Linked DNA regions of Sus scrofa. Each later gene encodes a partner of the first gene's protein in a complex. Links are inferred from orthologs where the notes say so. Each region holds a gene or a part of one and is shown in the gene's direction. Other genes may lie near its edges. The genes, in order: NCAPG, NCAPD2, SMC2, SMC4 and NCAPH.

Region 1 (6,197 bases):
CCACCTAAATTATTTGACTCTTTCCCAGATGAACATGTACTGTTATCTTGGGTGAATTTCATATATATTTACTTTTTTTTTTTTTTTTTTTTTTTGCATTTGCTTTTTAGGGCTGCACCTGTGGCATGTGGAAGTTCCCAGGCTAGTGGTCAAATCGGAGCTACAGCTGCTGGCCTATACCACAGCCACAGCAATGCAGGATCTGAGCTGTATCGGTGACCTACACCACAGCTCACGGCAATGCCGGATCCTTAACCCACTGAGCGAGGCCAGGGATCAAACCCTCTTCCTCATGGTTACTAGTTGGATTCATTTCTGCTGTGCCACAACGGGAGCTCCTAAAAATTTTTTTAGTGGTCACATGCTTTTTCTTTGCCAACTTTGCTCAAATTGTTTTTCAATAGGAATAACCAGGAATGTTTTGAAGAAGCCTTTCTTCCAACTCTACAAACACTGGCCAATGCCCCTGGCTCTTCTCCTTTAGCTGAAATAGATATCACTAATGTTGCCGAGTTACTTGTAGATTTGACGAGACCAAGTGGATTAAATCCTAAAGCCAAGGATTCCCAAGATTATCAGGTAGGTGAGTTAGCCTTTGGATGGTAAGGAGTCACTGTTGCTTTGGTGAAACAATCCCTTTCATAGATACTTTGAAATAGAAGCTGCATATTGACCTTGGGATTCCTGTTTTATACGGTAGCACATAGCACAAAGAACAAGATCTTCTGCAAATACATGGATGAACCTGGAGGGTAGTATGCTTTGTGAAATAAGTCAGACAGAGACAAATACCATCACTTATATGTGGGAATCTAAAACAATAAGTATTAATAAAACACAGATATGGAGTACAAACAAATGGTTACCAGTGGGGAGAGGGAAGGTGGAAGGACAAGATAGAAATGAGGGATTAAAAAGTGCAAGATAGAAATAAGGGATTTACATATAGAATAAATAAGCTACAAGGATATATTGTACAGCACAGGGAAATACAGCCATTAGTTTGTAATAACTTTAAATGGAGTACAATCCATTAAAATTTTGAATCCCTCTTGTATGCCTGAAACTAATATGACATTGTAGATGAACTATACTTTTAAAAATGCAAAAGAACTTTTGGGAAATGGGGAGAATCACAAAAATAGAAGTAGTCAGTGCTAACGTTTTTGCTGCTAAAGTTAGCAAAAATTCGTCGTCCTTCCTACCCTCTCCTCACCTAGTGCTGGGATGTTAATCGTTCTGAACCATGACCTGTCATGTAGGACTCTCTGAGTCCTCAATTGTTGGTTTTTCTGCTGTGTTTCTAATACAAGGAAGGAGAATTCAAAGAATGAAACTCACCTCAAGCTTAGTTTTGTTTTTAATTCAAAGATGCGGGGTAAGTGTGTAATCTCACACAATTTAAATGTAAGCTGGTTTTTAACCCTTTAACACCATTTGCTCAAACATTCACCATTTGAAAATCAGTGTGTTAATGATTTCAGATACTAGCTGACTAAGGTGAAAGGATTGGTCTTCTGTTTTAATTGACACTTAGTAATTGAAGTATGCAGCCACTATGTTACATGTTATTGGAAAGATTACAAAGGATATTAAGGCAAAATCTAGTAAGGGTCAGTGATAAAGCTACTAAGTGCTTTATTTACTTAGGCCTTGTGGGAATTTGAGGGGTGGTTTGCATAGAGAAGAGACTTTAGGAAAGATGCTAAATGTAGCTGGTTGTACAAGTCATGTCGGGGAATTATGGAAGAAATCATTACAGCTAAGGATCTCGAATAAGCCTGTTAGGGCAGAACCTTAGAATAGGGAGTTTGGAGTTGACTCTGTTTGCAGAGCATGTAATGAAAGGGTTAATGGGATGAAAATTATTAGGAAAATTAACTTGGTGGTCATTATCATTAGGTGAGGTGAATTGGTAAGAGGTATAGAGAATATTAACAAAGAGAGCAGTTAAAAATCGGTACAGGAGTTCCCGTCGTGGCGCAGTGGTTAAGGAATCCGACTAGGAACCATGAGGTTGCGGGTTCTGCCCCTGCCCTTGCTCAGTGGGTTAAGGATCCGGTGTTGCTGTGAGCTGTGGTGTAGGTTGCAGACACAGCTCGGATCCCGCGTTGCTGTGGCTCTGGCGTAGGCCGGTGGCTACAGCTCCGATTCGACCCCTAGCCTGGGAACCTCCATATGCCGCGGGAGCGGCCCAACAAATAGCAAAAAAAAAAAAAAAAAATCGGTGCAGTTAGGAGATAAAAGCTTACAGAAAAAGAAATAGAAAAGAGAAAAAAATTGTGGGAGTTCCTGCTGTGGTGCACTGGGATTGGCAGCATCTTGGGAGCACTGGACACAAGTTTGATCTCCAGCCTGGCACAGTGGATTAAGGATCCAGAGTTGCTGTAGCTGTGGGCTTGGGTCGCTCAGATCTGATCCCTGGCCTGGGAACTCCATATGCTGTGGGGCAGCCAAAAAAAAAAAAAATAGATACAAAAATTTAGAAGAGAAAGCTTTGCAAGGCAAAGGAGCTGAATGAAGTATGAGTGATAGAAGAGCTCAAAGAAGCGATTAACATTAGGGCGTACTCTTAAGATGAACATCTTGGAAGGGCGAGGGAAATAGATTGGGCAGAGCACAAAGTTGAAGTGGCATGTAGTTGTAAGATCCCAGCTGATCTCATAGGAGGTTCCGGAATTGGGATAGTTCTTTGATTTGTCCAGAATTGAGATAAGGCTAGGCTGTTGTATCTGTATATCTACGAGTTACTGAATGTGGACTGACTCTTAGGGAGGAGGTGTGACCTTAGGCAGAGCACATTGTCTTCAACCTGGGATCATTTCTGCATTGGGAACTTTGAACCTCCAAAACTCATGCTAGCCTAGAGAATGAATGATTCAGTAGTAAAAGTGGAGCAGGCCCTGTACCATAGCATCCACTGTAAGAAGGGGAGCTCATCTGGCGAGTAGGTTAATTGGTTTTTAGACATTCTGCATTTGGGATTATGTCACAGTAGTTGGAAATGATGTGTAGGACTGTATTATGATCATACCACCTCAGTTTTTAAGGATTTTTCTCTTGATTTTCCAGGCCTTAACAGTTCATGACAATCTGGCTATAAAAATTTGCAATGAGATCCTGTCATGTCCATGTTCACCAGAAGTTCGGGTCTATACTAAAGCCTTGAGTTCGTTAGAGCTCAGTAGTGATCTTGCTAATAAAGATCTTCTGGTTCTGTTGAATGAGATTCTAGAGGTAAGTAGTTTCTAGTTACTCTCAATGTGTATATATCTTTAGCAAAGTAGAATTGATATGGTTCTAGTAATTTATATATACATGAGTATATTGTGACTTTGCTCTTTGAAGTAAATGTTGCCTTCATAAACTTAGTAGAATTTTTAGAATGTTTTTAAACAACTTTGTTAGTATATATCTTTTTTTAAGATTAGAAAATGCTGCTCTAAAAAATATTTTCTGTTATAGCAAGTAAAAGACAGAACGTGCCTGAGAGCTTTGGAGAAAATCAAGATTCAGCTGGAAAAAGGAAATAAAGAAAATGGTGACCAAGCTGTAGCAGCGCAGGATGACGGCACAGTCACGACTCTTTTTCAAAGTGAAGGTAGTAACCACATGCCTATAAGATCCTGTCCTTTCCACCTTTCACACACATGCGATTGGATATCAGGAATGGAAGAAAGGTTTTTCTAATTAAGTCCCCTCGGGGAAGTGTATCACTGGTAAATATTTGTTTTATTTTTATAAGTTTTTTGTGTGTACGTTTCTTATCATATGACCATGCAAAACTATGTTCTTAAGAGTTTTGCTTGCTTATTTTCCAGTGTTCACATTTTTTGAAACACCGTTCCATGGTACATTTTCTGTAGTTGCTCTTGGGACTGGTTGTCATTTATTTGGTCATTTAAAATATTTCATGAAGCTGTTTTTAATTTATAATTGTTGTATTATTTACTTTAATAGAAAAGAATAAAGAAGTGTATATAACTCCTGTCAAAGATGTAAAGGTAACCCGAATGAAATCCACTCAGAAGCAGACTAACAGAGGTAATATATGAACTAACTTTAGAATAAAATTTTTCAGTTTTCTTATCCAGTGAAATACATTGTATCCTTAGGGATAAGCATTTTTCAGTATCTTAGATATCCTTAACTTTCCTTTTTGTTTCAGCTGGTACTAGGTTTTTCTTTATGTCTAAAAGATAGTATCAGTGTTGGCTCCAAGTGCTTTTGATTGAAAAAAAAATATATATATATATACAAAGGACTGTTTGGGTTGAATAAAGATTTTTTATCAAATGATCAATAATTTTTTTATATTATCAGTTTGTGGTCTGTCTTTACTTGATTAAACTTTTTTTTTTTTTTTGTCTTTTCGCCTTTTCTTGGGCCACTCCCGCGGCATATCGAGGTTCCCGGGCTAGGGGTCGAATCGGAGCTGTAGCTGCCAGCCTATGCCAGAGCCACAGCAACGCGGGATCCGAGCCGCGTCTGCGACCTACACCACAGCTCACGGCAATGCCGGATCGTTAACCCACTGAGCAAGGGCAGGGACCAAACCCGCAACCTCATGGTTCCTAGTCGGGTTCGTTAACCACTGCACCACGATGCGAACTCCTGATTAAACATTTTTGTCCCTTTTATTCTCCTAGAATTTTTCTGGGTTTCTGTTTTCCTTTGTATTGCATATTTTTCTGACAAAATTTATTTCCCAAGGGATATCCAACAAGAGGAGATTTTTTGCAATAATATACATGACTGTTAGGGGATCACTTAAATCTGAAATTTGATTTTTTTTATTGTCTTATTACAAAAGTAATGCATGCTTATTATAGAAGAATCAGAAAATACATCCAAGCAAACTATTATAAAGAATGTTAATTCCACCTGTGAGCCAACCATTATTTTAATCTCTGAAAAATACTCTTTGAGGTCCTTTTCAATGAATACTTAATTCTTTTTCTAAATGGAATCTGGCCATAGTATTGTTTTGTAGCCAGTGATTTATTTAAATACTAATTGCTGGATATTCTTCCACATGAGTCCCATGTTGTTGGATGTTTTCTTGGGAATAACTGCATTAGAAGTTTATAAGCAAATATGTAAAGTTGGAAGGAAACAAAAGGTTATATAAATTTCAACCAAATGATCATACTGAATAATTTTAACTTTAAAATTTTTATTATTTATTTTTTTTGGCCCTGGTGTGTAGCAGCTTGATGTGGTAGTGGTATCTGTGTCCCAACTAGGGATTGAATCTGGGCCGCAACAGTGGAAGTGCTGACTCCTAACCACCAGACCACCAAGGAACTCCCCCCAAATAATTTGGTTTTGATTAGACTGCTTTTAGTCAGATATGCCATGAGAACCCCACCTCTTTTTTTTTTTTTTTTCCCCCCAGTAGCTCAAACTTTATATGCTGTTTTCTTTCTTTTCTTTTTTTTTTGGCTGTGTCTGTGGCCTGTGAAAGTTCTTAGGCCAGGGATCAAACGCAAGCCGCTGCAGTGACAATGCCAAGTTCTTAATCTGCCGCGCCATAAGGAAACATCTGCTGTTGTATTTATGATAAGTGGTGCCACTTTACTTCCTACTCTTATAAATTTCTAGCTAGCAGAATTTTTGTAATCTCCCTAGCGTATAAAGGCTTTAATTTTTATGCTAAAATGTTTTAGAGCACACATTTGAATTGAGCATGTATGTTTTAAAATATTTTATAAGAAACCATACTTTACTGATTAAAGTTGTTTCTTTAGGATCTGTTTATGGACTTAACCAATCTTACCTAACCTTAATTTTTAATTAGTTTCTCCATATACTTTGTGCAGTAAAAGGTACTTTCTTTATATAACATGTATTTCATATGCTTCTTTCTCCCAAATAAATTTAGCAAAAATTTGCTTCCTTATAATTCAGTGTCCATATTTTCCCTTGCCTGATATCAGAGGTTGCAAAAGAAATTAGTAAAATTTTAATCTTATTTGGATTCATTTTTTCCATATGATAATTTGTACCATGCTGGCTGGGAACTAGGAGGAATTGTGTTGAAAGTGGAAAATAAAGGATTTGGGTAGCCCAGGAACTAGATTAAATATGAGCAACTTAAATTTTGATAATGAATTATACTGTCTTTAAGGACGAAGAACAGTGACAGCTTCAGCTAGAATGAGCAGGAGACGTCAGACTGAGGCTGAGACTGACTC
Region 2 (6,197 bases), on another chromosome or scaffold:
AAAGACAGTCCACCCTTTCATCTAATGTACTTTACCTGTTGTTTGGTTTTTTTTTTCCCCCTCTTTTTTTGGCCACCCTGGAGCGTGTGGAGTTCTGGGCCAGGGATCAGATCCGAGCTGCAGCAACCCCGAATCCCTAACTCACTGTGCCTAGCCAGGGATCTAACCTACATCGCAGTGCTCCAGAGATGCCACCCATCCCATTGCACCACATTGGGAACTCCTAATATACTTTAACCTTTAATGCAAGACCCCATTCTCTGGCTTTTGGCCTGGCCAAACTCCCAGACCCTATCCTCCATCAGATTCTGTGATGGAAGTGGTTGGCACTAGGGCTGATTTGTGCTTCTCTGTCAGTAAGGTGTGGAACAGGGAGTGTGAGGGAAAGGCAGTGTTTATTAATAAGGATCAAAGGGTTTCAGCCTCAGATGGAAGGTAGAAATTACTGCTTTTCAAAAGTGTGTTGGTGGAGAAATGTGATTTCATATTCACCTGCCACCATGGTTACCTGGATGAGCCTTGTGAGAAAAAATTTCTCTTGGCCCTTGCTTATTTTGTCCCTGCATTCTCCTCTGAGCAGACAAGACCTTCTAGGATTCTTTTTTTTTTTTAGGGCCACACCCATAGCATATGGAGGTTCCCAGGCTAGGGGTCAAATCAGAGCTGTAGCCACTGGCCTATGCCATAGCCACAGCAACACTAGATCTGAGCCGCATCACTGACCTACACTGCAGCTGGCGGCAACGCTGGATCCTTAACCCACCAACTGAGGCCAGAGATTGAACCCATCGGTTAAGAACCCGATGAGCCACAATGGGAAGTCCCTGGAATTCATCTTTTTCCAGTGCTCTTGGGGAAAATACCTGTTGGGCAGTTGACAGAAAAAGTCAGAGCTGAGAAAAGCAAGCTTAATTAACCTTGCCTAAAGGCCTTACCCCTCCTTTGTGCCTGAATAAACACTAGAGTTTAGGGAAAGGACAGTTAGTATTGGGGTGCAGAGGCTTATACCAACCTAATTTCCCTCAGAATTACATGATGCGCAATGCCGTGCTGGCAGCCATGGCAGAGATGGTGCTGCAGGTTCTGAATGGGGATCAGCTGGAGGCAGCGGCCCGAGACACCCGAGACCAGTTCTTGGACACCTTGCAAGCCCATGGCCACGACGTCAACTCCTTTGTGCGGAGCCGTGTTTTGCAACTTTTCACCCGGATCGTCCAGCAGAAGGTGAGCAGCCTTCAACATGATAAAGATACACAGTATCCCACTGTGTACAGACTGAAGAAGGGAGGAATCCAGGGTCAAAAGGAAGTAGCTGTGTCAAAGAAGAGTCTAGAATTCAGGATTTTACTACGACTAGTAAGGTCTTCCTCTATCAAGGACAAGGATGCAGGGCTCCATTTAAGGACTACACTGCATCTTAACCACTGCGAAAGAGTACTCCTGAACTATTCACATCCCATAGAAAAATTTCTTTAGAATGAGTGGGTATCTCATGTAGAGTGTACTTCATGAGCGTCTTGAGCAGAACGGAAGGTGTAAGGTGGGATCTCATCCTCTCTTCTTACCCCGCGTAGGCTCTACCCCTGACACGTTTCCAGGCAGTGGTGGCCTTAGCAGTGGGGCGTCTGGCAGACAAGTCGGTGCTGGTATGTAAAAATGCCATCCAGCTGCTGGCCAGTTTTCTCGCCAATAATCCCTTTTCCTGCAAGGTAAGAGGGCTTGTTCCACCCCAAAAAGGATAAATTAAATGGAAAAAGAGGTGAAATTCCATGACTTCATGACCCTGATGTTCATTTTACCCTGATAGCTTAGCGATACTGACCTTGCTGGACCACTGCAGAAAGAAACCCAGAAATTACAAGAGATGAGGGCCCAGAGGCGAGCTGCAGCTGCTTGTGAGTGATCGCTGCATGGGCATGCTCACCTCAGACATCCTTCTCCCTCCAGCCGGAAACTGAGTGCAAGAGTCTAAGTGAGACTTTCTCATTCAGCCACAGTGCTGGACCCAGAGGACGAGTGGGAAGCCATGCTGCCAGAGTTGAAGGCTACCCTGCAGCAGCTGCTGAAGCTCCCCCAGGAAGGAGAGGGGATGCCTGAGGAAATTGCCGAGACAGAGACCGCCAAAGAGGTGGAAAGTCGCATCCGTCAGTTGCTAGCCAAAGCTAGTTACAGGTATGTGAAAGCCTAGGATATTCTCGAATGACCTGTTAGGTTTATTTTTATTTATTTATTTAGTCTTTTTGCCTTTTCTAGGGCCGCTCCCGTGGCATATGGAGGTTCCCAGGCTAGGGGTCTAATCAGAGCTGTAGCCACCGACCTACACCACAGCCACAGCAAGGCGGGATCCGAGCCACATCTGCAACCTACACCACAGCTCACGGCAACGCCGGATCCTTAACCCACTGAGCAAGGCCAGGGATCGAACCCGCAACCTCATGGTTCCTAGTCGGATTCGTTAACCACTGAGCCGTGACAGGAACTCCAAGGTTTAGAGTTAACCTTTGAGAAACAGTGTTTTTTCAAATGAACTGCACTTAGGGTATGCTGGTAGGTATTTTCATGGCAGTAATGGTCTGAACACCAGGTTTATGCTAAAGGCAAAGTCTGCGATTAAGTGTGCTTTCTACTTTTACAAATGTTTAAAGAAACTACTAAAACAACTAAATGTACATAGTATTGTAATTAAATATGACCAAAGTTCTGTTTCATTTGAAGAAGAAGACCTATAAGTATAATTCTGATTCTGTAAAGTAAGTTGCTTAAACTTTCTGGGCCTCAGTGTCATTATTTATTTTAAAATAGTTTATTAGGGGGAGCTCCCTGGTGGCTCTGCAGGTTAAGGATCTGACATTGTCACTGCTGAGGCTCAGGTCACTGCAGTGGTTTGATCCCTGGCCGAGAAACTTCCGCAAGCCAGGGACATGATTAGATCGTAAGATCTGTAACGGCTTTCTAATTCTTTTTTTTTTTTTTTTTTTTTTTTGTCTTTTTTGCCATTTCTTGGGCCGCTCCCGCGGCATATGGAGGTTCCCAGGATAGGGGTTGAATCGGAGCTGTAGCCACCGGCCTACGCCAGAGCCACAGCAACGCGGGATCCGAGCCTCACCTGCAACCTACACCACAGCTCACGGCAACGCCGGATCCTTAACCCACTGAGCAAGGGCAGGGACCGAACCCGCAACCTCATGGTTCCTAGTCGGATTCGTTAACCACTGCGCCACGACGGGAACTCCTGCCTTAATCTTTAATCAATCTAATATGAATCCTGATCTTAGAGATAAGATTTTTTTGTCTAGAACTTCATCACAGCAACCAAAGCCTTATAGCCATTAACAGGTATTAAACCTCAGCCAAAGTTACTTGTTTACTTCTTACCTAATTAGGCTATTCAGAAAAGGCTAAAGAGAAGGTGGCCAGGGGCCTCCAGGCATCCTAATGATCCTTCAGAAAAAGGCTTCTTCATGGAGTTCCCACTTGGTACTGCAGGTTAAGGATCCAGCACTGTCACTGCAGCAGCTTGGGTTGTTGCTGTGGCATGGGTTTGATCCCTAGCTCAGGAACTTCAGTATGCTGTGAATGAGGCCAAAAAAAAGAAAAAAAACGCTTCTTGCCATGTTAGAGATGTCTCTTCCTCCAGCAATCTTCAGCGGTTGAAGCTGGGTGAAGTTCTTAATAATAGTGCAGGCTTTGGCTTCCAATTACAAACTTAAACATGTGTTAGAACAAATCTTTTTTTTTTTTTTTTTCCTTTGTCTTTGTCTTTTAGGCCCGCATTCAAGACATATGAAAGTTCCCAGACTAGGAGTCTAATCCTAGCCTGATCCTTAACCCACTGAGCAGGGCCAGGGATCAAACACACAACCTCATGGATCCTAGTCAGGTTTGTCACCACTAAGCCACAATGGGAACTCCAGAACAAAACATTTTTAAAGTTTTTTAACTTTTTTTTTAATGGTTTAATAGCAGTGTTTTGTTTGTTTGTTTGTTTTAACAGAAACCTGCTTTTTTGAAATTAGACAATATATTCACATTGTAAAAAATTTAAAATTACAGGGACATGCCTTGAAAAATCCCTTCCAAACCTGCTTTCCGGCCATTCACTTCCCTTCTCTTGGGAAGGCAATGCTGGTTGTTACAGAGCCTCTTTCTAGAAATAATGTTCAGTCAGACAGTCAAACATGTTTTCATTTTTTCCCCCTTTTTACACAAATGACAGAATTCTCTACCCATAGGTCTCAGTTCTTGATAGAATCATGAAATAGGCTCCCTGACACAGGGTTGCAGACACTCTTATGGTGCCAAATTGGTGACAGATGATGTTCTGTCAGGCAGGCCATCATTCTAGCTCGAGAAGCCATAGGCCACTTCCAGGAGTCTCAGCCCTTCTGTCATATGGACCCAGAGGATTCAGAGGAGACCAGGTTCCTGACTCTCTTAGGAACTATCTTCAAAGGTAAATTCCTTTTCCTTCTTCAGTCAATAAGCAAGACATTTCAACTAGTGTTTATGGACTGTTTATGTCAGATGCTGGCCTCGCTGACAACCTGATGCTGAAAGAGGCCAAAGGGGAGTTAGCAGTGCTTCTGCCTTGGAATGGAAGCAGCCCCAGCCCAAGATCGATAGTCATGGGGTATCAAAGGGTATTTCCAGACCACAGAGGACTCGAATCTTTTTTGAGATGTGAACCAAGATACTTAATTCTAAATTCATGCTTTCCTCTTGTAGAAATGAATATCCAGGGATGTTTAGAGCTGTTGGTTTGTCCATATGCCCCTGTACAAAAACCATCTTGTAATTCTCTGACTCCTAGGCCCAGAAGCTCCCACCCAGGAGAAGACTCCCCAGGGGGCTGTGGGGAACTTGGGCTCAGGAGAAACTGGCTGTGAAGACCAGTCAGCGCCTGAGAAACACAGGGAAGATGATGAGCTGGTGAAGCAGGAAATGCTGGTGCAGTACTTGCAGGACGCCTACAGCTTCTCTCAGAAGATCACAGAGGCCATTGGCATCATCAGCAAGATGATGTATGAACACACAACCACAGGTGGGCAGCGCCCCCTCTGTAAGGATGGGGCTTGAAGTTGGAAAAACCATTCTTGCCCATATTTTATTGACAGTCTGTCTGCTCCTTTGGGTTTTTTGTTTTGTTTTGCTTTATTTTTATTATAGTTACTTTATAGTGTGGTACCAATTTTTGCTATATAGCAAAATGCCCCAATCATTCATACATGCATACATATATATATGTATACACACACACACACACATTCTTTTTCTCATCTTCCATCATGTTCTTTCCCAGGAGATTGGATATAGTTCCCTGTGCTATACATTAGGGCCTCGTTGCTTATCCATTCTAAGTGTAATAGTTTGCATCTACCAACCCCAAACTCCCTGTTCATCCCACTCTCTTCCCCCCTTGCCCTTGGCAACCCCTCGTCCTGTGGTATTCGTCTTTCTTTCTGTATTTGCTCCTTAGACCTGCCCAGATACTTTACTTCCCCATGCTTTGTGTAGCCCTGTGGAGGACATCTATTTTAGCGCATTTAGTATTTCACGGTAGGTCATTTAGGGGAGTCAGCATCCTCAGGGAAAATGAAGGCTTCCACACGATGTTGATTTACATTAAGGAAGGTTCTATGAGTGTTGAGAGTTTTGCCAAGCAGATAGGTGACATTTGTGTCTGTCCTCTCAGTGGTGCAGGAGGTGATTGAATTCTTTGTGATGGTGTTCCAATTTGGGGTACCCCAGGCCCTGTTCGGGGTGCGTCGCATGCTGCCTCTCATCTGGTCAAAGGAGCCTGGTGTCCGGGAAGCTGTGCTAAACGCCTACCGTCAGCTTTACCTCAAACCTAAGGGTGACTCTGCCAGGTAGATGGGCCCCATTTGCCTTCACTAACTTTTCTGAAGTCAACTCCTCAGAATGTGTCTGGTCTCCTAAAGGAAGGTGGGGAAGTGGGCACCCTTCTAGGGGAATTCTAAATCTGGAGGCAGTAGGTCTGTAGTGGGGCTTGGGATGGGGCTGAACTTCCAGTGAAACCCATCATGAGCAGTTATCTATTTGTTTTTTTCCCCCAAGTCAAAAAATATTTTTATTAATGGTAGAATCAGAGCTGTTAATTGAACTGTGTCCCCACAAATTTCGATTTTTAACTTTTTTTTTTTTAATAAAGTATAGTTGATTTACAGTGTTGTGCTAAT
Region 3 (6,197 bases), on another chromosome or scaffold:
TTTGAATGTTTGTTAGAAGTCACAGTAAAGCCATCTAGTCCTGGACTTTGATTTATTGGGAGGTTTTTGATTACTTATTAAATCTCCCTACTAGTAATCTGATTTTCAGATTTTTCTGTTTCATCATGATTCAGTCTGGATAGATTGCATCTTTCTAGGATTTTATTTCTTTTACATTGTATAATATGTTGGTGTAACGTTGCTCATAGTAACTTTATGATTCTTTGTATTTCTGTGATATAAGTTATAACATCTCTTTTATTTCTGATTGGGAGACTCTTATTCCTTAGGTCTAGCTAAAAGTTTGTAAATTTTATATTTTAAAGAACCAGCTCTTAGTTTCATTTTTTTTTCTATTTATTTTTAGTGTATTTCATTTATTTCCACTCTGATCTTTCTTATTTTCTTCCTTCTACTAACTTTGGTCTTTATTTGTTCTTTTTCTAGTTCCTTAAGTTGTGGAAGTTAGGTTTTGTGTTTGAGATTTTTCTTGTTTCTTAAGGCAGGCGTTTATTGCTATGAACTTCATTCTTAGAATTGATTTTTGATACATCTAATACAAATTTTGGTACCTTGTATTTCCATTATCCCTTGTGTCAAGGTATTTTTAAAATTTTTCTTTTGATTTCTTGCAGTGACATTCTATAATGAAAAGTAGCATAGTAAATTGTAGTCATGGCTTTCAGGGTTATATTTGTACCTAGATCCTAACACTTAATAGTGTATGTCAGATGTGACCATGACACGGTCATTCTAGCTTACTTTTTTATTTTTCAATATATAAATTTAGAGGTAATATGCTTCATACTAGACATGGTCTCACAGTGTTTCTCTCGTTTAATAAGAGGTTCCTTGGATTAAAATAAATGAGCAAGGAACACTTAAGTAGCAAGCTTGTTTATGAAGTTAATGGTAAGCTTTCTTACTTTCAGTACTGGTTTTAGGAAGCATACAAGTATGTAAATAGGTAGTCTGTGATCTTTTTAATAAGTTGTTTCAAAACCTTGTTTAAAGTAGATAAGTTGTAAATGAAGTTTATGTTACTCAGTTTCATGTGGGAAATAATTCCTTTACAGACCTTTAGATAATTCAAGTATAGTTCTTAGGTATGGGCTGTGTTTTAACATACCATTTCTAGAATAAGATTACAACAGTTTTTTAAAAAAACCTCTTGCTTTTGACTTTCCATACCTTTCCTTCTGTTAAAAGTTGGGTTTGTAAGCCATTATCTATAACTTAATAGTTTGAAGGTCTCATTTAGGTGTACTTGTCTACTTTCTGATGCAGAGGAAAGTGAGGAGACCTTAAAAAACACCAAAGAAATTCAAAAAAAAGCAGAAGAAAAATATGAAGTATTGGAAAATAAAATGAAAAACGCAGAAGCTGAAAGAGAGAGAGAGCTAAAGGATGCTCAGAGAAAACTAGATAGTGCCAAAACTAAAGCAGATGCTTCTAGCAAGAAAATGAAAGAGAAACAGCAGGTAATACCTTTTTTTGAAATGGCGCTAATCTTTTAACATCATTATAGAACTGAAGGTAGCAGACCACCATGGTTGGCCTTGGCCTTATTCATCAGTATTTGTTACCAAATCGCAAAGTGAAATATGTCTCTTTAGGAGACAAATTACATATCTTATGCGTCAAAGTAAAATATGCTTTACTCTGAAACCCTACAATTGTTACACAGGTTTAAGTAGGAATTGCATTGGCTTGCTAATTTTGGAGATAGAGCAAAATTACCTTTTGGTAAACACTTCATTCATGAAAAATCTGTGTTTTTTTCTGTCTACAAAGTCTGGGTACTCAGTCACTCACTATTCTTTATAATTTTACTTAAATCTAACCTTTTTTCATAGTTTTTTTTTTTTAACCCACCATATAATTCTGTCATTAAATAGATGCACAAAATATTTTCTAAAGAACTATAATGGGAAAGAAGAAAATTAAAACGGGTTTTTTTGTCATTGAATAATTGTTTTAAAAAGGCTTTACCTCTTCTGATTTATCTGCTACATAGAATTCTATACTGTTTTCCCCTATTGGAATAAAAGGGTAAAAGAAATAGTTTATAAAAAGTTCTTTGAACCCATAAAAATGGTATGTATGTTTGTCATCATCCTTTTTTAAATATAGAAAAGTAAGTTTCCTTTCCCCTTTCTTCTTTGGAAGCAGCTTACATGTTTTTGGTGGTTGAGTAACAAAGCTGTGGGTCTTACTTGCTTAAGAATCTTGCTAATTTGGTTGACATATATGTATTAATGTTTCAGTAGTTAACAACCTGTTGAATGCCCAGGTTGTGTTTCTTATAGGAAGTTGAAGCTATTACCCTGGAGCTGGAAGAGCTCAAGAGAGAGCATGCATCCTGTGAACAACAGCTTGAAGCTGTAAATGAAGCTATCAAATCCTATGAAGGCCAGATTGCAGTAGTGGCAGCAGAGGTGGCTAAAAATAAGGTAAGATTTTTACTTACCATGTTGGAGAAATTACAAATGTTAATCTGCTTCTGAAATGGTGGTTTGAAGATGTTTGACTTTAGAGGTCTCAGCTCCTTCAATCTTGTCATGATGAGAGGCAAAATGATGATTACCAATCCAGAAATAGACCTGAAATAATACAGTTGTTTTAGTCTAGGTCTACTTAGAATACAAAAAACTACATAGTAATTTGACCAGGCAAAGTTTAAATAAAACATTATTAATAGGAGTTTGGAATGGTCCAGGATTGATTGCTAAGGGGTAAAGAGAACTCTGTAGAATGTAGGAACAGCAGATAAAGGGAACAGTCCCTACCCATAAGGCTAAGGCAGTGCATCCTTGGAAGGAACATCTGGAAAGGAGCCCCATTCTCCCTGCAGAGGTGAGAACTACATTTGGTTAGAGAAGGAATAACTGTGGCCCACTGGTGGTGAAGTTTAGTTGAGTATTAGGGAAAGCCATGCACAGGAAAGTGCTGCACAGGGGCACTTGCTGGGGGCCATGGGGAGATGCCCATTCTGCAGACATGCTGCAAAGCACCCACCGCTGGGATACCAGGGGAAGCCCTCTAAGCTGCTAGCCGCTGCTCATGACAAGCTTGCCCTTGAGAAAAAGCATATCAGAACCAAGAAGTAAAGCCTCTTCCTTCCTTATGAATATTAGATATCTTCTTCACCTTTTCCAATGATTTTGACCTTGAATTCTGTTTTTCTTATAATTTCTACTCCTACTTTTAAAAATCGAGAAATAATTGGCATAATACTTATATTAGTTTTAAGTATACAATGTTATGATTCAATATCTGTATACATTGTGAAATGATCCCAGTATTGTTACCATACATAATTATAATTTTGTTTATTTTGATGAGAACTTTTTAAGATGTACTTTCTTAGAAACTTTCAAATATACAGTAGTGTTAACTATCGTCATTGTTTGCCCCTCCTAATAAATATGATCTTGTATATGCTCCCAAAATGCTGCTTTCTTGAGATACCTCACAGGTCAGATTCCAATAGTCCCTCCTCCCCCCAGGTGGTCCCAATTACACTGCATCTTGTAGCAACTTTGTTGATTCCAGCATGAACACTGCCTCTCATCTCTTTTTTCTAGTGGAAGTACAATTTTTTCTTTTAATCTCTAAATTTATTAGTCATTTTAATGGGGATATAAAATGTAGAGGGTTAGGTGACCATCTGCCTGTAATCACATTGCCATCTTGCCCAGAAGTCTGTTAGATGATCTCTCAGTAAACTAAAAATGTCCCCATTTTACCTTGCTATATATTGTCTTCTAATTATTTGTTTTAGGAGTCAGTAAATAAAGCCCAAGAAGAGGTGACCAAGCAAAAAGAAGTAATAACAGCCCAAGACAACATAGTTAAAGCTAAATATGCAGAAGTAGCAAAACATAAGGAGCAAAACAATGAATATCAGCTTAAAATTAAGGAACTGGATCACAACATCAACAAACATAAACGGGAAGCTGAAGATGCTGCTGCAAAGGCATGTTTGTGTTGTTCATTTTTACCCTTAATCAAATATTTGGCTCTGGGTTGTTGAAATATTCCAATAAACTGCTCAATGAAGAATTTTATGTAAATGGCAGAACTACTATGTAATGTAATTTGGAGGCTTACAACTATGTTAACTACTTAGCAATCACCAAATGTCAAAATTATTTTGTTTTTAAATTTAATTTCAGGTGTTTATTCTCATCTCCAAGATTTTTAACCAAATATTTAGTGGTCTCCCATGGAAATGACTGTTTTTTATCCCCAGATGTTCATAAAACTAATTATTAATGTATGAGTGGTAATAATATGTATTCTTTACCTTATTTCAAGTTGAATATAGAGAATTCACAGATAAATATACACAGGCAACTTTTATAATATGGACTTAATCAATTTCCAGATGTCCTTATGAGAATTTGCAGATTTTATAGCTTCATTTGAAATCTGATGTTAAGCAGTTATTGTTTTGAGGTTATCCCACAGGTTTTTGGTCATTCTCAAGGTTTCTCTCATGTATCACAATGCCTTAACTACTGTTTTTTTGTTTTTTTTTTTTTTGCTTTTTGAGCAAGGCATATAGAGATACCCAGGCTGGGGATCAAATCGGAGCTACAGCCGCTGGCTTATGCCACAGCCATAGCAACATGGGCTCTGAGCTGTGTCTGTGACCTACACCACAGCTCACGGCAACACCGATCCTTAACCCACTGAGTGAGACCAGGGATCGAACCTGCAACCTCATGGTTCTGAGTTGGATTCTTTTCTGCTGTGCCATGACAGGAACTCTAACAATGCCTTAACTACTTTAAAGGGAATATATGATTTTTTCAGAAATTCATTGCTTTGTTAAAAGGCTGCATTTATGTGGTCTTAATAATTCACTCTCATCATGTTTTTTTACTAGTATGTAATAGTTTGGTGCCTTTTAAATCTTTTTAGCCTCATAAAAGTCCAAGAGATTTAACTTCAAAAAAGATCAGAGCCTACAAAACAGTGTCCACCTTATCTGAAAGAACCATGAGTGCTTGCTCAGATTCATTGCTTAGTTTAAACAAGATTTTTTATGTCACATCATAATGTCCTATTATTTTATTAGTGTTGAGTTCCTGTTAGCTTAGTAGCTTGATACTAGTAGATTCACTGAATTATTATTATCAGTGCTAATATTAATAATTTTTTTGTGATTGAAAATGCTAGTTTTGGTGATTGCCAGGCATTTTAGGTACAGTTAAGGGTAGGGCATAGAAAGAGGTACCTGGAAGCAGAGCTGCTAAAAAGCCAAGGGTTCCTTGAAATACGTAGTTTATCAAATATTTATTTCATACTATGCCAGGCACTAGCAATATAAGAATGAGCATCATGAACACAGAAGGCATTCATAGAGCTTACAGATCAGCAGGGAAGATAGACTAGAAATGATGATTTTACTTGGGAGTCTAGCGGTGAGACCATACCCATGAAATTAATAAGAATGACTGGACAAGGATTAGATTCTACCAGTAAAAACCAACCTTAAACAATTCTAGTAGAAGAAAGTCTTCCTTAAGCAGTATAATTAAAATTTTTAAATGTTATATGAGGAAGAATTTTTTTGTGCCTTTTCTAAAGAGGTTGGTGGGGAGGGAGTCAGTATTTAGGACAGTTTTTTACTTAGATTGTAATTTCAAGAAGATTTATTAGATATCAGTCAGGATTAGGCTTGCACATTTTACCAAATCTGACTTCTGTATTCGTATAACACTTAACTTGCAGGAGTTGTTTTTTGAAGCAATATATTGAATTTGGTACCATCTAGAGCTTCATCTGACTTATATTTCATTATAATGGAGATATTTTATATATGTATACTTCATAACTGTTTCTCTGAGTTGACTCTTATTTTAATGCTTAAGTAATAGGAAGATCTTTTTCTGTATCATCTGATGTTTCTTGACCCTATCCTCTAGGTCAATTACAGGTTCACTGTCTACAGTGAACCTCATTTTTTCAGATGAGTCGTTGTGGGATTTTTTTTTTCCTCCAAAATTTTTTATTTAAAATTAGTAAATATTTAAGAAACTAATTTTTAAATGTAGGTTTGTAAATAATGATATCATTTTATTGTCATCATGATATGCGGCTAGGTGTCCAAAATGTTGAAAGATTATGACTGGATTAATACAGACAAACACCTCTTTGGGCAACCCAATACTGCCTATGATTTCAAA
Region 4 (6,197 bases), on another chromosome or scaffold:
TAGAAAGTTTATGTTCAACATATGTATCTATTCCTGTTAGGACATTTGAATCATAATGTATGTAATCGCTCAACTGACATTGGTTTCTTTGCAGTTACTGCTGTATCACATAGTTGTCTTTTTCTTTGCTTTCCTTTTTTTTTTCTTTTTTGGCCACCCCATGGCATATGGAGTTCATGGGTCCAGGGTCAGATCCAAGCCACAGATGTGACCTAAGCTGCAACTGCAGCAACACTGGATCCTTAACACACTGTGCCCAGCTGGGGTGCAAACCTACATCCCAGTGCTCTAAAGACACTGCAGAACCCTTTGTGCCACAGTGGGAAGTCTCATAGTTGTCTTTTCTATCTCACAATAATTCGTTAAGGTATAAATATAACAAAGACTTCTGATGCATGTTTCCAAATTTTATTTTTAAATATTTTATATTCCCGCAAGTATAAGAAAATGTCAAAATGTTCAGGAAAAACTGTTGTTCCATTACCATCCTCAGAACAATATATATACTTTTCCTTAAAAACATGTACTTGGAGCTTCTGTTCTGGCTCAGTAGGTTATGAACCTGACTAGTATCCATGAGAATGTGGGTTTGATTCCTGGCCACGGGCTAAGGATCCAGCATTGCCATGAGCTGGGGTGTAGATTATAGATGCAGCTCAGATCCCATGTTGCTGTGGCTGTGGCCTAGACCGGCAGCTGCAGCTCCATTTCAACCCATGGACTGGAAACCTCTATATGCTGCAGGTATGGCCCTAAAAGGCCCCCCAAAATTAATTCTTTAAAAGTAAACATGTACTTGAATGTCCTAGATACCTAACTTTTTCCAAAGAGTTCTCTTGATTTTTTTTTTTAATAGTTTATGTTCTTTAAAAAGGACCAAAAAAAAAAATTCTCTTCATCTGATTCTGTGATGCAGAAGTTAATTGACCACCTGCTAAGCTTTAGGATTTGGAATTGAAACTAGACTGGTTTTGTTCTAGTCTTTAAGATTGCAAGTTTGGGTTTTCTTCATTCACAAGTTGACTTTGGTATTAATCTGAAATGACAGAGTAAGTAAACTTATGTCACTGGTATTCTTTTTAGGTAAATAAAATGGAATCACAGTTACAGAGAGACTCTCAAAAAGCAGTGCAAATCCAGGAACACAAAGTACAACTGGAAGAAACAGTAGTTAAGTTAAGGCATAGTGAACGAGAAATGAGGAATACACTAGAAAAGTTTACTGCAAGCATCCAGGTACTTGGTGTTTTGTTTTTTGTATTTTTTTCCTAATCAATTTTAGCTAAAATTATTGGAATTCAACAGCAGTTTGGCAGAATCATTTTGCTATTTGCTCACAGTTTTCAAATATAGGGGAGGAAGAAGGGCGGGTCTTTAAGTCGTAAGGCCTATTTTGTTTCCTTAAGTACTAATGGATAAATGCCCTATCACAGTGATGTCCAGCCACAGCCATTTCTATTTCCATTTGTACTTCATGGAAATGAAATGTGTCTTCCCTTAACTATTTAATAACCCTTTTTTTGTTTCATTCTCATTTCAAACTGAAATGTTTACAAAGTTTCAAAAAAGCAATGCATGCCCTCAAGTCGTCTTTAAAAAACAAGATTTTATTTGAGTTCCCGTCATGGCTCAGTGGTTAACAAATCTGACTAGGGACCATGAGGTTTCGGGTTTGATCCCTGGCCTTGCTCAGTGGGTTAAGAATCCGGTGTTGCCATGAGCTATGGTGTAGGTCACAGATGCGGCTCAGATCCCGCGTTGTTGTGGTTCTGGTATAGGCCAGCGGCTACAGCTCCAATTCGACCCCTAACCTGGGAACCTCCGTATGCCGCAGGAAGCGGCCCTAGAAAAGGCAAAAAGACAAAAAAAAAAAGATTTTATAAAATACCCAAAAGATTATCACCTTTAATTCTTACGTGTATTATTCAACTTTTAATGTAACTATCTAGTGTTTAAGTGTGTGTGTATGTATATGGTAGATACAAATCAACATTTTGAATATGCATGCGGATTTTTAATTAGTCTCATGCTAACTTATTAATTATGGTTTTCTTGACAAGCCAATGTAAATTTGCTTTGTCTACAGTTGCATTGGCATATTTTTTTTTACCCTAATTTGGTAAAGTTTTTCTGTTACTATGTACACTACTATGCTTAAAATATCTTTATAGGCATCCCTTAATACACTCATCCAGTTATTTCCTTAGGGTAGAGTCCTAAAGTTATAATTATTACTTAATATGTGTAGCATATGTGAATAATTTTTCCAAGTCTTTGAACACACTAGGTACTCCTCAATATGTTGTAAGTTTGCTACTCTAAAATATGTCATAATAATCTGTCTTTGTAATGAGTTTGCATGTTTCATGTGTTTTCTTGGCCATTTTCATGTTTTCTTTTGGTGTTTTGTTTTTTGTTTTCTTGCTTTTTAGGGCCACACTTTGGGGCATATGGCGGTTCCCAGGTTAGGGTTCGAATCAGAGCTATAACTGCTGACCTACACCACAGCTCATGGCAACGCCAGATCCTTAACCCATTGAGCAAGACCGGAGATCAAACCCACACCTCATGGTTCCTAGTCAGATTTGTTTCCACTGCGCCATGACGGGAACGCACATTTACATGTTTTCTACCCTTTTTCCTATTTGTCTTTTTTTTAAAGATTTTAAGTGCCTTTTTTAAATTAAAAATGTTTAAAGTAAATGTTACTGTTAAGTTAAAATACTGATCTTGAATGTTAAAACATTTCTGTAGCGTTTATCAGAGCAAGAAGAATATTTGCGTGTCCAAGTTAAGGAACTCGAAGCTAATGTACTTGCTACAGCCCCAGACCAAAAAAAGCAGAAATTGCTGGAAGAAAATGTTAATGCTTTCAAAGCAGGTATGTTTAAGGATACAGACTTCCCCCTCTCCCCAAAATATGGTCAAAGACAGGTTTGTAATATTTGAAATGTTTAAGATAGCAGTTCATAGAGTAAAAAACAGCAGCTTACATATGTAAAGTAACAACTCTGTTTTATGGTTTTTTATTTTTTCATTTTCAAAAGGCTATAAAGTACTATATTTTAAAATAAGTACTTAATATGACAGACAAGAAAACTGGGGCACAGAATAGTTTATATAATCTGCCCCAGGTCATATAGCATTTGGTTGTGGTATATGAATTCAGGACCAAGGTAGTCTGATTCTGGAACCTATGCTCTTTCTCTTTTCTCTCTCTCTTTTTTTTTTTTTAATTTTCCAACTGAATTTAATTTTGAAAAAAAAAAAAAAACCACTTAATAGAAGAGTATCTGTGTTGTGCCTCATTTGCAAAACCTTCAGGAAAAGACCAAAGTAAACCTCCCAAGTAAAATGTAGACCATCAAATGAATTGGCAAATTAACTGTAAACATAACCTCAAATCAGAATTAGGGAGATAAAAGGGGAAAAAAACTTCTAAATTTCTTTAAAGAGGATGAAATCTTCCACAGAAAACTAAGAGTATGATAGATTTTTTTTTTTTCTTGTCTTTTGTCTTTTTAGGGATGCACCCACAGATTGAGTCTTTTTTTTTTTTTTTTTTTTTTTTTAAGTACAATATAGTCTTAGCTGGAACCCATGGTCTTTATTTTACATTTTGTAATACTATGGCCAGATCTTCCCAAGAACCCTTCAAGATAGTAATTATTGTGTCAAAACTTAGACATTTTTCGTTCCAGAACATTTCCTCTTGTGTACACATAACATGTGAGTGTTCTACCAAAATAAAATCTTTAAGCAAAAAAGGGAATTAGTTCATAGACTCAGTCAGGATTGGATTTGACATTAAAATTTCTGATCATGCACTTGGAGCATCCCTGCTTTTTTGTTTCCATTGTGGCTTCAATTAAACATAGATAGATATGCATCTTATTGCAAGAGGAGGAAATGGTTGTTAATAATGACAAACCCTTTCCTGGCCTGCAGTTCCTTAACTAGTGACCCCAACAAATACAAGAAAGGACCCCTGTTACGGTTTGGTTTGTGAGGAAAAGAAGGCAGATACTTGATTGTTCATCCCAAAGAAGTAGTTAGAGTGGAGTTGGAACAGTTACCCAAATGTTCGGAAAATGGGGGTGTTTTCTTCCGGAAGAAGAAGAGGTATAGTTCTGTGACCTACATCACAGCTCATGGCAACACCGGATCCTTAACCCACTGTGCAAGGCCAGAGGTCAAACCTGTGTGGATACTAATTGGGTTTATTACCACTGAGACACGATGGGAATTCCAACACTATCTTCAAAAAAATCATTGAGACAAATAGTCAAGAAAGTACCCTATAATTTTCTCTTTTTTTTGGTCTTTTCTAGGGTCGCACCCAGGGCATATGGAGGTTCCCAGGCTAGGGGTCTAATCAGAGCTGTAGCTGCTGGCCTAAGCCACAGCCACAGCAACGCAGGATCTGAGCTGTGTCTTCAGCCTATACCACACCTCACAGCAATGCCGGATCCTTAACCCACTGAGCAAGGCCAGGGATCGAACCCGCAACCTCATGGTTCCCAGTTGGATTTGTTAACCACTGAGCCATGACAGGAGTTCTAACCCTAAAATTGTTTTTGAAAGGAGTTTCTGGGCATGAAGCCATTAAGAAATAAGTAGATTATGTTCACAGCTGAGCAAGAGAATTTAACCACATGTTATATTGACAGGGTATTTTGGTTTTGTGTTATAGGGTTTTTTGTTTTTGAGGTACTTTTCCTTTTTTTTGGTCTTTTTAGGGCTGCACCCACAGCATATGGAGGTTCCCAGGCTAGGGGTCGAATCACAGCTGTAGCTGCTGACCTACACCACAGCCTCAGCAACACCGGATTCTTAGCCCACTGAGCGAGGCCAGGGATCAAACCTGAATCCTCAGGGGATACTAGTCAGATTCGTATCCACTGAGCCAGGAGTGGAACTCCGAGGTACTTTTTCTTAAATGTCTAAAATTTCTTTTGCATGCATCATGTTAAGTCATGTTGACTGAAGAGATTTACATCTAGCAAGTGATGCTCCTTAGCCTAGAAACACGAATTTTTTTTTTTTTTTTCCAGAATATGACAGTGTGGCTGAGAAAGCTGGTAAAGTTGAAGCTGAGGTTAAGAGGTTACACAACATCATTGTAGAAATCAATAACCATAAACTCAAGGCCCAACAAGACAAACTTGATAAAATAAATAAGCAGTTAGATGAATGTGCTTCTGCTATTACTAAAGCCCAAGTAGCAATCAAGACTGCTGACAGGTACAGTATATATACCTACACTGTCTTCCTGTTCCCTATATCCACATTGGAAAAGAGGTTAATACTTAAATGTCCATTAAATGTTTCTGTTACTGTTACTTATTAAGCCCATCTGACATGTTATTACCTAATAGGATTTTAATAGGTGGACATATATAAAAAGCATTCTGACCAGTTTAAAACTGATAAAGCAGGTATGCTTTAGCAAAGTGTGATTCTATAACTCCTCAGTTGTGAGGATATGGAAGTCAAAGTTTTGTATCTCTGGCTTAGAGGAGTAGGTATAAATCATTTAAATAAATCTAGGTCTTAAGAGAATAAGGATGAGCTCTCTTAGCAAAATTGCTGTAATTTAAATTTTTAATTATCCAGATTATTCCATTGTCTCAATTTTTTTTAATATTCTTAGATCTTGTTTATAAAAGTGTTTCTGAAATAAAGCTAAGTCTGTATATAAAATGTTTGGATGTAAACAAACATCCAAACATTTTAAGACAATTTTTTGTCTTAAAATTATAACATTGGCTGCAAATTGATTCTTTGGTTATTCAGTTATTGCTGTGTCTTTTGTTCAGCGGTAAGGTGCTAATAAATAATAAGCCTTTTGGTTTTGCCTAAACATAGTTAGCAAAGTAATTGTAACTTTATTAAGAGAAAATATAGTCAGGTGTGTGTGTGTGAGAGAGAGAATGTTGTGGTCCCAATCATCCTTCCATATCCATCCCCCTGCTCCTGCCCCTTGCCCTTGGAAGCACTTGTTTCCACTGACTTGATCCAAGAGGTGTTTGTTTATTTGAAGGTAATAGCTTCATGGGTGTAAAGATGTAAGAATCTCAATCAGACAAGGAAATGACAAAAATAAAATAATTGAGTGAGACAACTTTGCTTCATAGTCTAAGATCAGATGATATATAAAGGCTTATATAAGAAGTTTCGGAGTTCCTGTCGTGACT
Region 5 (6,197 bases), on another chromosome or scaffold:
CATGTCTATTTTCGAAAAACAAAGGTTTGTGCTGGGTTTTTTTGTTTGTTTGATTGTTTTGCTTTTAGGGCCGCACCTGTGGCATGCGGAGGTTCCCAGGCTAGGGGGCGAATCGGAGCTACAGCTGCCAGCCTACACCACAGCCTCTGCCACGTAGGATCTGAGCCACATCTGCAACCTACACCACAGCTCAAGGCAACACCAGATCCTTAACCCACTGAGTGAGGCCAGGGATAGAACCTACAACCTCATCATTGCTAGTTGGATTCGTTTCAGCTGTGCCACAACGGCAACTCCCTGTGCTGGGTTTATTATCATTTCTTAAATTACTCTTTGCACTCCTCTTTACCTTTTACCATAGCATGTGGAAGTTACCAGGCCAAGGATTGAACCCCCACCACAGCAGTGACCTAAGCCATTGCAGTGACAATGCTGGATCCTGCTGAGCCACAAGAGAACTCCCAAATGGGATTTTTATTTATTTATTTATTTAATTTTTTGTCTTTTTGTCCTTTTTAGGGCCACATCCACGGCATATGGAGGTTCCCAGGCTAGGGGTTTAATCAGAGCTGTAGCCACTGGCCTATGCCAGAACCACAGCAATGCCAGATCCAAGCCACGTCTGCAACCTATGCCACAGCTCACGGCAACACTGGATCCTTAACCCACTGAGCGAGGCCAGGGATCGAACCTGCAACCTCATGGTTCCTAGTCGAATTCGTTCCTGCTTCGCCATAATGGGAACTCCTCAGATGTGATTTTTAAAAAATTCATTATGAATTTAACTCAGAGTTAAATGGATGGCTTCATTCTCCCTCAGTTTCTGGAGGAATTAAGAAATAGTCCCAAACTCAGTGGCAGAGAGAATCAAGTTTAGAATATAAATAATATCTGACAGAATCACTCCTTTACATATAAATAAGAACTCTGATGGTAGATGAGTGCTACCCAAACCCTTCCCAAAGGCCTTTCAAAAACAAAAAATGAAAATAGAGACCATTTTTATTAAAGATGGCTAAAAGCTTTTTTTTTTTTTGTTTTTTATTAATAGGCTGCTACTATTCTGAGCAAGTCCACTTTGGAGAACCAGAATTGGAGAGCCACCACTCTTCCTACAGATTTCCACTATGAGACTGAAAGTCTTGTCCAGCTGCATCTCAAACCAGGCACCAGGGTAAGGCTGTTCATTGATTCCTTAAAGTCACATTGTTAAACCTGTTCATAGCATCAGAGGTATCAAGTGGCTGATAGTGTGACTGTCTATGCCTTTGAGGTGATGGCAAGAGTGCAAGGAGTTTGTGTTAGTCCAGGGGCATCTCCGGGAGATACATCGGAAGGCAGAGCTAGAGGGAAAATCTTGTAGGACAGACACATGCTCAAGACTTGCAGATATCTCCCCTGGTTGGATTGCTGGACACTCAGGCCTATATGCCAAAATGCAGAGTGCTAAACAAGTTTTTGTCAAGGTTTTTACAAGATGTTAGTTATTTCTTTAGTCTTTGATTCTGTCAGTTTCTCATGATAGTTGTGGATTCACTAGCCAGATGCTTTCCCCAGCTCATGTTGCCTCCCTGTGATCCAGGTGTAGATGCAAGCCTGCTGTTATATGCAGGTGATGTAGATGCCAAGCATCTGACCATATGGTCCTTGGGTTCCCTGGTGCTGCACATGCTGCCCAAGCTCCTTCCATGGCTGATCAGATCGGTGCTCTAAGAGCAGCTTCCACTGCAGCCCAGTGGCTATTCATTTCCTTTGCCTGGGATGCTCCCTCCTCTGGTGATGCTAAGCAGCAAGTGCGAGTTCTGTTGCCAGGGTAACCATACTGGACCCTCGACTCATGAGGTGGAGGAGCAGAACCAGTCTGCTGGGGAGCTGAAGGGAGATGGGAGGACACTTCACCACACCTGGCCCAAGCCCCAGCTGCTTCTCCTGGCCACAAGCTACCTGTTCCTCCCTCAAGCCCTTATTATGAACAGTGAAGAACCTGGCCTAGGGGGTAATTGCTTATTCAGATGTGAAGATGGTAAAACAAAGTCATTGGATCATTGCACTCCAGGAGTTGTATTTTGTGGTTTTTTTCCATAATTGTTTCCATTAGAGGAAAGAATTCCTGCTTCTGATTATCCACAGGAGCAGATTTCCCTGGGTGTGTAGTAGGGCAGCCAGGCAGTGAGAGCCTGGGATACCTCCCCTCTTCCTGCCAGCAGAGCCACACTGAAGAGTGCCTAGTACTGGAGACGATACAGATTATTCACACATCCAGTTTGATATTTTAAAGGGTGATTCTCATAGCAGCCAGCCAGTATGTGAGGGGGTCACATATACTTCCTAAAAAATTTCTTGTAGACTATGGACTATTTATATATTTATTTACTGAAGCATATGGAAGTTCCCAGACCAGGGGTCAAATCAGAGGCCTTAACCCGATCAGTTGAATGATGGATCCATAATCCACTGCGTGAGGCCAGGGATTGAACCCGCATCCTTACAGAGATGATGTTAGGTCCTTAACCTGATGAGCCACAGTGAGAACTCCTGGACAATTTAGAGTGTGACCAGAGGAGAGTATTCCAAATGGAGAAGGATTTAGAAATTGTAACATATGAAGAAAAGTAGAGCAAGTGGGCATTTCTTAATAAATATCTATTAATTTATTTTTGGATTTATATTACAAAAGCATTGAGGTCTTTTGGTCTGCTTTTGTAGTATTTTTTAAGATTTTCATTTTTTCCATTATGGTTGGTTTATAATGTTCTGTCAATTTCTGCTATAAATCAAAGTGACCCAGTCATACATATACACACACACACACACACACATATATGTATATATATATTTATATTCTTTTTCTCACATTATCTTTCATCATGCTCCATCACAAGTGACTGTGCTATACAGCAGGATCTCATTGCTTATCCACTCCAAATGCAATAGTTTGCATCTACTAACACCAACTCTCAAGTCTTGTAGTATATGTTATATTAAAATATTCACTGTACTTTTGTAAACTGTACATAGTCTTAATCCCATTTCCTTCACTCCAAAGACACACCCCCCCACTGAAGATCACTGGCCTAATGGCCTGAGAATATCTGAAGGACTGTGGTCCACAGGCACTCCCCAAAGAGGACGCAGACTTGCTCTGAAACCCTTGAAGGGAACAAGGGCCCATGGATGTGGCTCAGATCTGTTCTAGCAGCAACAAGCTGACTTCTTTTCAGATAGCTCTAGATGGTTTTGTGTGTGTGTGTGTGTGTGTGTGTGTTTTGTTTTGTTTTAGGGCCACACCAAGCTAGGGGTTGAATTGGAGCCACAGTTGCCAGCCTACACCACAGCCACAGCAACACAGGATCGAGCCACATCTGTGACCTACACTGCAGCTCATGCCAACGCCAGATCCTTAACCGACTGAGTGAGGCTAGAGATCAAACCCACATTCTTATGGATACTAATTGGGTTCATTACCACTGAGCCAAGATGGGAACTCCTAGGTGGTTTTGTTTTTAGTGAAAGAACACTTTTTCAAATAAAGTTGTATGTAGACCTAAGTGCAGGCTGGCTGCTCTGGTTTACTTGGGTTGGACGTAGCTTGGAGCCCTGCAGCCCTGGGCTTGCTCTAGGGTAGAGCTGTGCAGTTAGTTGAAAGTTGGCTGGATCAGATGACTTCTCAGGGCTCTCAGAACCCTAACGTGCTGGGAAATGATTATAGGAACTAAGGTTATCTCCCTAGCCTAGTTTACTAGCTGCTTTTCTAGAAATTGCTTTCTGCAGTTGTTCTTTCCTTCATTCTAGTTACTTAAGATGGCCCAAGGCCAAAGGGCAGGGACCGAGCATTATGAAGAAGTTGAAGCCTATGATTACAACAACCCTAACGATACCTCCAACTTTTGCCCTGGATTACAGGTAAACAGGGGCCAGAACTCCATCCTCTCTTCTGAGCAGGAGAGTTTCAACCTGTCCTGTGAGGCAGAAGGCTGGGGGCGATTCTGAGTTAGGTGAGGGTTTGTGGATGCCCGCCTGCCCCGGCATCAAACTGAGCAGAGCTGAGGCGGTAGCCAGAACCTGCGCCTGCCTTACCCTGAGCTCTGTGTGCAGAAAAACACGGACATACTGTAGTACACCGGCAACCATGTGGATGGAGTCTTTAGCCTGTACAAAGTGCTCGCCGTGGTCATTTGGGATTTCTAAGGAAAAGAAACACTTCTCCCACTCTTAGGAGCTGATGTTTTGGCTGGGGAGACAAAACACACAGATATGAAGACAGTGTGTTCTGACAGGGAAAATAGCCTATGGAGTGGCTTTCACGAGACCAGGCTTGTAGCTCTGATTTTGGTTCTCCGATTGTGAATTGTATAAGCTACTTCCCATCTTTAGATCTCAGAGTAAACCTCAAAATCCCTCTGTGAGTCTACAAGTGAGATAGTGGATGGAAGTGGGGGAAGGCCCCATCTGTGTCCCTGAAGGTGGGCAGAGGGAAAAGAAGTGGAAGAATAGTTTATTCACCTTATTTTCTTTCTTAGAAGAAAGTTGTTAATATTTTAATGAAAATCCAAACTGCCTTCTTGATCAGTGCTCCTCAGACTCAGTGTGCATTAGAGTCCTCCAGAGAGCCTTTTAAAAAACCAACTCCCGGCCCCATCCCACAGATCAGGTCTGGTGCTGGGCTCCCTGGAGGCACCTAGACGTCCATTCTAGGTTTGATGTGACATCACGAACTCTCAGGTGCTCTGCTCCTGCTATGTATGGAATCTGTTCAAGGATATTTTTAAACAGCTCTGCCAAATTTGAAAAGCTCACTTCTTCGCCCAGGCTGCTGACAGTGATGATGAAGAGTCAGAGGACTTATCTGTGGGACCAGTTGGGACCTTTGACCATTCTGGCCATCCACCTATGACAACACAAGACAACAATGACATGCCTGAAGTCCAAGGGTCAGATATCACAACTTATGGAGAGTCAAATCTGGTGGCTGAGCCTCAGAAGGTAAAGATGAAGCCAAGAATTTTTTTGTTTTTGTTTTTGGCTGCACCCACAGCATGCAGAAGTTCCTAGGCCAGGGATCAAACTCGTTCCACAACAGTGACTGGAACCACAGCAGTGACAATGCCAGATCTTTAACCACTAGGCCACTAGGGAACTCCTCATAGTCAATATTATTTGCCTGAGATCTGTTGAATTTGCCTCTTTTATGAGAGTCATATTAGCATGAGCTTGACGTTTTTCCTTCTCAGTTTTAACCCACTGCTCTCTTAAGTGCCTGATTCTTAAATAAGGCTGTAGGGAATGGACCGATGCTAGTTATGTTTGTGGAACTAGCCATCTCTCCAAAGATTGTTATAAACTGGATGACTAGCGGCGAACCAGCCACACAAGCAAAGTATGTGAATGAAGCCTGCAGGCCGAGAGAATTGGTTTCTCTGCTATTGGCTAAGGCTAGCTATTTGGCTCTAGAAAGTCTTGGCCAGATTCAATTCGTATTAAATGATCATTCCATTTAATATATATATTTGATTCACTTCTTTACACTGAAATTCCAGGGTACCTTTTTTGTGCTCGACTGAGAAGAAATTAGATGAAATGAGGGACTGTGTTTTAGAATGTCCAAAGGAAGCTCTGTAACTTTGTGGTGTAAATAGATTTTTTTCATTATTTGAACTCCAGACTTTTCTTTTTACAAAGAGCTGATGGTAATGCTTCTTTCTTCTGCTTAGTTTTACTTGTCATATGCCTATTTCAGGTAAATAAAATTGAAATTCAGTATGCTAAGACTGCCAAGAAGATGGACATGAAGAAGCTGAAGCAGAGCATGTGGGATTTGCTGACGGAGTTCCCCAAGCAAGCGGACGCAGAGGTAAGGTGTTCCATTCCCTCTGTGGGTGCCTGGCATGGGGGAAGGCGTGACTCTTGGCTGAACTGCAGGATTGGTAGCGCTAACATGGAAAGCCTTCATTCAGAAATACATCATTCCTCTGAGAAGAAAGTGAACCAAGTATACAAACAGACAGGTCACACAGAAGGTGACACACATTGTTCAGGCTAGCTGGTATCAAAAAATACAAATAAAGGCATCTTTATACAGCTTTGAAATAACAGCTTTAGCAATTAAATGCTTTTTAGTATGGAATTGGGGAAAAATTGGAGTACTTATTCACTGATGGTGCAGAATAAGTTGACAAATGACCCTTTGGGAAAGTAAA

What was found.
Region 2: NCAPG (region 1) and NCAPD2 share a complex: the UniProt entries of both Homo sapiens proteins name them as parts of the condensin complex. The link is inferred for Sus scrofa from reciprocal best matches to the Homo sapiens genes NCAPG and NCAPD2.
Region 3: NCAPG (region 1) and SMC2 share a complex: the UniProt entries of both Homo sapiens proteins name them as parts of the condensin complex. The link is inferred for Sus scrofa from reciprocal best matches to the Homo sapiens genes NCAPG and SMC2.
Region 4: NCAPG (region 1) and SMC4 share a complex: the UniProt entries of both Homo sapiens proteins name them as parts of the condensin complex. The link is inferred for Sus scrofa from reciprocal best matches to the Homo sapiens genes NCAPG and SMC4.
Region 5: the proteins of NCAPG (region 1) and NCAPH are in contact, whole or in part, in a crystal structure (PDB 6IGX), measured with the Homo sapiens proteins. The link is inferred for Sus scrofa from reciprocal best matches to the Homo sapiens genes NCAPG and NCAPH. Residues at the interface, in NP_071741.2 of Homo sapiens: Lys11, Phe14, Arg15, Gln18, His50, Tyr51, Lys53, Tyr54, Val55, Met56, Val57, Glu62, Ala64, Val65, Val68, Phe102, Ser106, Glu108, Ala109, Asn110, Ser111, Val114, Arg115, Ile149, Arg150, Lys152, Asp153, Lys154, Arg159, Glu188; in NP_056156.2 of Homo sapiens: Glu471, Ile472, Asp473, Phe474, Glu475, Asp476, Asp477, Ile478, Phe480, Val482, Tyr483, Phe484, Arg485, Lys486, Thr487, Ala489, Ala490, Thr491, Ile492, Leu493, Gln501, Asn502, Trp503, Ala505, Thr506, Thr507, Leu508, Phe512, Tyr514, Val516.

Annotation. Positions count from the first base shown.
Region 1 is NC_010450.4:12,799,327-12,805,523, forward strand, and holds part of NCAPG (condensin complex subunit 3), read left to right. Parts: intron 1-404; coding exon 405-579; intron 580-3,072; coding exon 3,073-3,237; intron 3,238-3,465; coding exon 3,466-3,601; intron 3,602-3,960; coding exon 3,961-4,044; intron 4,045-6,130; coding exon 6,131-6,197. UniProt on the Homo sapiens protein: Regulatory subunit of the condensin complex, a complex required for conversion of interphase chromatin into mitotic-like condense chromosomes.
Region 2 is NC_010447.5:64,145,363-64,151,559, reverse strand, and holds part of NCAPD2 (condensin complex subunit 1), read left to right. Parts: intron 1-1,026; coding exon 1,027-1,224; intron 1,225-1,574; coding exon 1,575-1,709; intron 1,710-1,807; coding exon 1,808-1,895; intron 1,896-1,991; coding exon 1,992-2,172; intron 2,173-4,328; coding exon 4,329-4,453; intron 4,454-4,810; coding exon 4,811-5,041; intron 5,042-5,692; coding exon 5,693-5,867; intron 5,868-6,197. UniProt on the Homo sapiens protein: Regulatory subunit of the condensin complex, a complex required for conversion of interphase chromatin into mitotic-like condense chromosomes.
Region 3 is NC_010443.5:245,439,452-245,445,648, forward strand, and holds part of SMC2 (structural maintenance of chromosomes protein 2), read left to right. Parts: intron 1-1,287; coding exon 1,288-1,481; intron 1,482-2,309; coding exon 2,310-2,453; intron 2,454-2,470; exon of another isoform or gene 2,471-2,603; intron 2,604-3,784; coding exon 3,785-3,979; intron 3,980-6,113; coding exon 6,114-6,197. UniProt on the Homo sapiens protein: Central component of the condensin complex, a complex required for conversion of interphase chromatin into mitotic-like condense chromosomes.
Region 4 is NC_010455.5:100,107,352-100,113,548, forward strand, and holds part of SMC4 (structural maintenance of chromosomes protein 4), read left to right. Parts: intron 1-1,083; coding exon 1,084-1,236; intron 1,237-2,754; coding exon 2,755-2,881; intron 2,882-5,054; coding exon 5,055-5,244; intron 5,245-6,197. UniProt on the Homo sapiens protein: Central component of the condensin complex, a complex required for conversion of interphase chromatin into mitotic-like condense chromosomes.
Region 5 is NC_010445.4:46,856,848-46,863,044, reverse strand, and holds part of NCAPH (condensin complex subunit 2), read left to right. Parts: coding exon 1-24; intron 25-1,051; coding exon 1,052-1,174; intron 1,175-3,792; coding exon 3,793-3,903; intron 3,904-4,809; coding exon 4,810-4,983; intron 4,984-5,737; coding exon 5,738-5,851; intron 5,852-6,197. UniProt on the Homo sapiens protein: Regulatory subunit of the condensin complex, a complex required for conversion of interphase chromatin into mitotic-like condense chromosomes.